2 linked regions of the Pelodiscus sinensis genome follow. The protein of the gene in region 1 interacts with the protein of each later gene in a biochemical or structural test. Links are inferred from orthologs where the notes say so. Each region holds a gene or a part of one and is shown in the gene's direction. Other genes may lie near its edges.

Region 1 (3,746 bases):
GAGTATATGATTAGTTGATAAAGGGCCACTGCAGCTCTGCAGTTAAAATGTAGGAGCCAGGTGTGCAGGCAGCCTGGCTCCTACTACATTTAAACAGCAGAGCCGTAGCAAGTAGGTCTGGGACCTAGTGTGAGCCAGAACTGAGGAAGCCTTCCCTTATCGACTAATCCTGTAGTTGATTAAAAATGTTATTAACTACATGATTGGTGGATTACCCACCTCTTAACATCCTTACTCCTCACACCCCTTCCACACCCTTCACCTAGCCCTCCCCCTCCCTTCAGCTCTCCTCTGGCCTTTACCCACACCCCCCTCTCTCCTCCTCCTCCTCCTGCCAGTTCTCTTCTCACCTACTTCCATAGCACTCACCCCACCCCTCTCATTTCTCTTCCCCCCTCCCCTGTCCTCCCTCCTATTTCTCCTTCCCATCCCCATTCTCCCTCTCCTCTCACATTTCCACCCACAGTCCCCTTTTCTCTTCTCCTCTCCTCACTCCTTCACCCTTCCCCTCTCCCCTTACACCCCTGCTCTCTCACCCCCTCCCCTTCTCCCATTTCACCTCCCCATCCTCACTCCCCTTTTTCCTCCCCTCACACACCCCATTGTCATCCCCTCCCCCCTCACCTCGATTTCTCCTCCCCATCCCCATTTTCCTCCCCCTCCCCTCACTCTTTCACCCTTCCTCTCCCCCCACACACCCCATTGTCACCCCCACTCTCACCCATCTCTCCTCCCCCTCCCACTCCCATGTCTCATCTCCCCTCTCCCTCCCCTCCCCTCCATTTCTCCTCCCCATCCCCATTTTCCTCTCCCTCACATTCCCACTCCCACTCCGCCTTCTCCTCCCCTTCCTCTCACTTTCACCCTTCCCCTCCCCTCACACAACCCATTGCCACCCCCACTCTCACCCATCTCTCCTTCCCCTCCCACCTCCATGTCCCATGTGCCCTCCCTCTCCCCTCCCCTTCTCCTCCCCATCCCCATTTTCCTCCCCCTCACATTCCCACTCCGCCTTCTCCTCCCCTTCCCCTCACTTTCACCCTTCCCCTCCCCTCACACAACCCATTGCCACCCCCACTCTCACCCATCTCTCCTCCCCCTCCCACGTCTCATCTCCCCTCCCCCTCCCTTTCTCCTCCCCATCCCCATTTTCCTCCCCCTCACATTTCCACCCCCACTCCGCCTTCTCCTCCCCTTCCCCTCACTCTTTCACCCTTCCCCTCCCCCCACACACCCCATTGCCGCCCCCCCTCCCCATTCCCCGCCCCCCGCCCCTCCCGGGATTGAGGAAGTGCCCCGGCCTGTCAGGCTGCGCCCCGCCCCGTTCCGCGCCCTCCCGCCCGCTCCGGCGCCGCTGCCGCCAGCTCGAGCCCGGGTGGCCGGCGGCGCAGGAGGCGGCTCCGCGCCCCACCGAGAGGCTCCCGAGGCAGGGACCCCCCGCGCGCGAGGTACCGGGGCTGGGCGGGGGGGCTCCCCGCCGCGTCCCTTGTGCCTGAGGGTGGCAGGCCCCCCCCCCCGGGCTAGCCGGGGCCCCCAGCGCGGGGGTGCACGGCCCGGGCCCTGCCCCCCTCCCGGGCCGGGGGCCGCAGACTCACCCCTGCCTGCCGGCGGGAGCCTTGTGGAGCGCGGGCTGGCGGAAGGAGGGTCTGGTGCTCTAGGGAAAAGGGGTGTTTGTTCCCCCGCCTGGTTCTGGGGCGGGGGGGGGGGCTGCTGCTTGCCAGGGCCCCCTCTGCCCCCTGACTTTGCCAGCCCTCTGGTGTCACTCCCCCGGGCAGCCCAAGGTTCCTCTCGAGGCTTGGAGCTGCTCAGCGCCGGGCACTTGGGCGAGGTGTGTTTGGATCCTGTCGGGGTCCACGAAGGACCCTCCTCCAGCCTGTGGGGAGGATTTGCTAAGTCCAGGACACACACTAATGATGGGGGACAAAGAAGAAGAAAAACGCGTGGGAGTGAAGAGGGCAAAGGGCTAAAACAAGGGAACAGGATGGGAAAACCGAGCAGTGGGTGGGTTTGGATGATTAGCGGGTACCTAACTCACATTGCTGCTGCTCTTTGGCAATCCCCAGCCAAAGGGACTCTGTTGGGATGGTAACCCCTTGTCTTACCTTTGTTCTGCAGAGTTAGAGCTGGTTGACCATTTTTTCAGTGATATCCATTTTCAGCGAAAGTGGCTTTTTGGACAAAGTCCATTTTCATGACAAAATATTGGTGTAGAAAGTTTTCAGGTTTTTTGTTGAAACACCCTCCCCCCAACTTTTTTTAAAGTTTAAAAAAAAAATAAGTTGAAGATTTTTTTTTTGCCAAAATAGTTTTTCAGGAGAGGGGAAATCATTTCCTCACCTGCTCTCATCAGAATGTTAAAGCTCTAATTTATTTGTAACTATTTATTCTGATGGTAATGTAAGCATGTGGTTAACTTTGCTCATGTAAAAGTTCCATTGGTATCCCTGGGATTGCTTGTGTGAGTAAAGTTAAATACATGAATATGTGTTTACAAACTCAGGGTCCATCTCAAGCTGCTGCTCAGGAAAAATTAGAGGTGAGAAGAGCATCACGAAAAGAAAACATTTCTATAGATATGTTTGGGTTGTTTGGGTTTTTTTTAATAGAGCCTAATGTTTGGGAAAGGAAATGTTTGGGTTAAATAAGCCATAAGCAGGAAGCTGTTGTCTTTTCATGAAAGCTGGTGGTAGAAGGGAAATAAAGCTAACGTAGGTTAAGGAAAAGCTTCCTTTTGTTCAATAACCATTCCAACAGCCATCAGGAAGCACTCTGAGGCTACATCTATACTGAGGAGCTATTTCAGTATCCCGAAATAACTATTCCACGTCTTAAGAGTAAGCCCATTATATCGAAATATAATGGACTCGCTATTCCGACATCTCTGTAAACCTCATTGCATGAGGGTTAAGGGACATTTCGTAATAGCGCTTTATTTTGAAATTTGGTGCTGTGTAGACAGCGACAAATTTCAAAATAAGCTGTTTCGAAATAAGTATGAAATAAGCTATGCAATTTGCGTAGTGCAAATTGCGTAGCTTATTTCGAGGTAAGGGTGTTGTGTAGACGTACCCTTCGGCTCCAGAATAGAAGCACTTCACTTTTATAGTGTGCATATTATTATTACTTTACTTTCCACTATATAGAACTCTCTCACTGGTCACTTCAGAGTGCTTCATAAATAGTAATTAATCAAATGTTACTATATGTCTGGAGGTAGATAAATAATATAACTACACTGCAGATTTGAAAACTCAGGAATACAACATTTATGTGATTTGCTAAGGTCATACAATGCATATCAGAGGGGGAACAGAACCCAAGAGTTCTTGCACTGACCATTAGCTTTCTCTGTCTCTGCTGCTATGACCTGTGGAATAGTGTACAAATGCATTACCACTTTTCCCAAAACTTGAGGTAGATTCCTCATTTTGACACATGTCACTTGAAGAGCACTTTAAAAAGTCTTCTGAGTGATTTAAGTTGAAAGATACAGAGCAATGTCATGGTATTGTGACAATTGATTTAGTCACATGGGAATTAGGAGAAAGGTGGAAATCCAATGGAGAATGCAGTAGGTGCAAAGGATTGACATTGAATACAAACTCACTTCTGGTTCCAACTTCTGTTATTTTTTGTATGTTTCAGTCATTATTTAAATAGGCACATGGTGCTTTACTTTTCACTCTGTCTACTTTTATTAAATGTTATGAGTGGTATTAGTGGCTGCTAGCAAGTTGCAGGGAGCT
Region 2 (3,746 bases), on another chromosome or scaffold:
GTGGCATCCTTGCGTGTATTAGATGGTATAGCCTCTGTGCCATGAGCCACAAACATTTATGGAACTGAAAAATTATTCCTCCTTTAGATCCCAGTATATAACTGCTATTAATAAGGCTCTTTGGGAATGCAACTTGACTGACTCTGGCCCCGGTGAATATGCTGGCCCCCAGAAATTTTATAGTGCTGAATGAACAAACCAGCATTTGCTGACTGTAGATTTGCCAGGTGTCCGGTTTTGAACTGGACAGTCCAGTATTTGAGCTTTCTGTTCGGGAAACAAATTGAGAAAATATAAATGTCTGGTATCATATATATAGTAGCCCAGTGTCTGAGAGTCTGTAACGCCAAAATGCTGGCTGTTCCCTCTGGGGGGCGCTGTTGCCTGAAATGCTGGCTGTTCCCTCTGGGTGGCCCGTGCTGCATGGGGAGTGCAGGGCCCAAACGGCCTCTTGCACCATTTGCTCCCTCACGGTGGCCCGGCTGAGCGGCGCAGAAGTCAGCCGAGCACCACAGTGGGAGGCGAAGGGGGGTGGGGCGGTGACGTGCGGCGTGACAGCAGCTCCAGGCCCTGCCCCCTGCCCGTGAATGTCACCGCCCCGCCCCCTTTCACCTCCCGCCGTGGCGCTCGGCTGACTTCTGCGCTGGTCAGCCAGGCCGCCTTGTGGGAGCAAGTGGCGCAAGCGGCCATTTGGGCTCCATGCCCCCCATGCAGCACGGGGAGTACGAAGCCCAAACGGCCATTTGGGCTCCACGGTCCCCCGAGTGAAAAGCAGGAGGGGGAGGAGAGCTGAAAGAGAGAGAGGGTGAGGCAGTAGGAGGAGGAGGAGAGAGAGAGAGAGAGAGAGAGAGACGGAACGAGAGACCGGAGGCTCAGGAGAGACCTGAAAATCCCGTCTTATGACGGGCCAATTGGCTAGTTTTCTAACTAAGATGTAATGTCGATGGTGATGTAACGTCAAGTGTGTCCGGTATTTTTGTTGAAACCATCTGGCAACCCTAGCTGGCTGATCGAGTGCTGAACGCCCTCCCCTTTAAAGAGGTTGGAGGGTGGCAGAATGCATGGACATTTGGCTACCAGCAACATAGGTTCCTGCTGCCCTAAGCTCGTTTAGACCAGCCCCGTAGAAAGTGCTGGGTGGCATAATCTAGGGATGCAATTTGAGTCCCAATACCTCCTGCGCATAGCACTTTGGGACCTCCTCCCACCACTGCACTGGGCCCTAGAGGGCAGCAAAGACCCCTCCCCCCCTGCCCTGTATACGTCTCCTCTTAAGAGGCCTGGGGAGTTTGTTCACCCCTCCCTCTCTCCAGCCAGTGTGTTGGATCACCCGGGCCCCTCCTCCCCGCACCATCCAATGGTTCCTTCCTATGCCTTCCCTGCCGAACACACCCACTTCCCAGCGCATGGTGTCGCCCTCCCTCCTGGCCGGTTGAGCACACACCTTCCCTTCCGCCCCTGCCCCGCCCCCTTCGCCCTGTGATTGGCTGCGGCGGGTGGCGCGAGCCGGCCAATCGGCGGCGGCCGCTCGCGGCCGTGTCGCTGGGCAGAACAAAACAAAAACAAACAGGGCAGCGCAGGGGGCAGCGCGAGGCCGGCGGCGGCTGTGGGGAGCGGAGCGGCGGGGACCGCTGCTGCCTACGGTAACGGGAGCCCCGCCCCCCCGCGCGCAGGGGGCTCCTCGCCCCTCCCCAGGAGCCTCCTCAGGCGGGAAATTCGTGGGATCCCCCCCGGGGGGGGAGGGTCTGGGCTCCACGACCCTCCTGGCCGGGGGGCGTGTGGGGTCCTTACCAGCTCTCCTCAGGGATGTGCCCCCCCGGGAGCCGGGCGCATCCTTGGTGTGCCCCCCCTCTTCGGGGTGAGGGGGTGGGGTCCCTGGGGGTGCCCCCCTCTGTGGGGTGGAGTCCTTGGGGGTGCCCCCCTCTGTGGGGTGAGGGGGTGGGGTCCTTGGTGGGGTTGGTGCCCCCCCTCTGCAGGGTGAGGGGATGGGATCCTTGGGGGTGCCCCCCTCTGTGGGGTGGAGTCCTTGGGGGTGCCCCCCTTTTGTGGGGTGAGGGGATGGGGTCCTTGGGGGTCCCCCCTCTGCGGGGTGGGGTCCTTGGGGGTGCCCCCCCTCTGTGGGGTGAGGGCGTGGGGTCCTTGGGGGTGTCCCCCCTCTGTGGGGTGGAGTCCTTGGGGGTGCCCCCCTTTTGTGGGGTGAGGGGATGGGATCCTTGGGGGTGCCCCCCCTCTGTGGGATGGAGTCCTTGGGGGTGCCCCCCTTTTGTGGGGTGAGGGGATGGGGTCCTTGGGGGTCCCCCCCTCTGCGGGGTGGGGTCCTTGGGGGTGCCCCCCCTCTGTGGGGTGAGGGCGTGGGGTCCTTGGGGGTGTCCCCCCTCTGTGGGGTGGAGTCCTTGGGGGTGCCCCCCTTTGCGGGGTGAGGGGATGGGGTCCTTGGTGGGGTTGGTGCCCCCCCCTGCAGGGAATGGGGGTGGGGGATTCTTCATGCCCCCTCTCCTCCCTACCCCCCAGCGGGGGCGGATGGTGGTGTGGGGTCTTTCCCCCTCCCTTCTTCCGTCCCCCAGTTAAAAGCCCCTTCTGCGGAGCAGCGCCTGGTCTTCAGCCTAAGGATGCCATCGCTGGCATTTGTGGGGAAGGGGTGACACTCTGGTCCCCAGTCTGGCTGGGTGAGGATACAGTGACAGCCGGGCTGTCCCCAAACAGCGCTAGGATTGAAGTGGTTATCGGGGAGGAGGGAGCCTGCTTTACTTCTGTATAGGAAAGCTGCCGGTTCCTACTTTTAGGGTGTTAGTACCTTGGCAAAAGGTTTATATTTTGACCCCCCACCAAGCTGTAAAGTCACTTTCTTTCTTGTAAAGCTGCACCTTTAAAAACAAAACTGACTTGCCACATCTGTATTAAAACCACTTCCGTTGTTATTTCTGATACTTTAAAGTGTGTGCTTTAAGACCTGTGTGTGGAGGTTTGGTGTATGTTTAATCTTTTCTGAATAATGTTTGAGGCTGTTTATACACTCATATAAAACTAGCACTGAGCATTTATATAGAGCATTCTGTGCTGTAAAAGAGTGTGTATATACATGTAAACATCAGATGGAAACTGATCCTTTTACAGTACCATGGTGAGCAGCACATGGCCACAAACAAATTCTGCTGTGATGCTGTTTTCACAAGTCCACAAACTGGAAATATGAACATTTCAGGCTGTAGATTGTCTTACTTGGCCTCTACTGAAAGGGAGAAAAATCATGGGAAGTTCAAGCCACATTTCTTTGCTTCTTTTTAAATGTGACTGCATCACAGTGGCTGAAGTTTTAAAAACATTGTATGGCATTAAGGATTAGAACCTTTACTTGAAGTTGGGTAAGGTGGAAATACAGTTCGAAAAGTGAATGCATGCTCAAAGATTTTTCAATCTAGAAATTTTTGGTTGAAGGTGATCATGAGATACTTACTTGACCATGAGTGTAGTGTAAATACCTACATATATAGAAATATCTCATTCAAACATGCAGGACTGAGAATGATCCAGAAAAGCTCCTTGTCCATCAGAAACCAGAGAAAGTAATGGAGTTGAGAAAAAAACTAAAAATCACACCTCTTTCCAAAACAAAGGCCCCAGGATCCTTTTTTGAATTTGCAGTATTTTACAATATTCTGCAAATTCTTTTATTTTATTCTCCCCCCCCCCCCCCCCGCTTATGTACACCTGTTATCTTGTCTACCCCCAGATAGTGAGCTCTCCAG

Evidence for each region. The genes of interacting proteins can lie anywhere in the genome.
Region 2: the proteins of LRRK1 (region 1) and PDCD4 form a complex in vitro, tested with the Homo sapiens proteins (2 studies listed by BioGRID and IntAct, with this or other methods). The link is inferred for Pelodiscus sinensis from reciprocal best matches to the Homo sapiens genes LRRK1 and PDCD4.

Annotation. Positions count from the first base shown.
Region 1 is NC_134724.1:7,440,592-7,444,337, reverse strand, and holds the start of LRRK1 (leucine-rich repeat serine/threonine-protein kinase 1), read left to right. Parts: upstream 1-1,292; 5' UTR 1,293-1,448; intron 1,449-1,586; exon of another isoform or gene 1,587-1,828; intron 1,829-2,403; exon of another isoform or gene 2,404-2,536; intron 2,537-3,746.
Region 2 is NC_134718.1:66,934,967-66,938,712, reverse strand, and holds the start of PDCD4 (programmed cell death protein 4), read left to right. Parts: upstream 1-1,487; 5' UTR 1,488-1,643; intron 1,644-3,746. UniProt on the Homo sapiens protein: Inhibits translation initiation and cap-dependent translation. May excert its function by hindering the interaction between EIF4A1 and EIF4G. Inhibits the helicase activity of EIF4A. Modulates the activation of JUN kinase.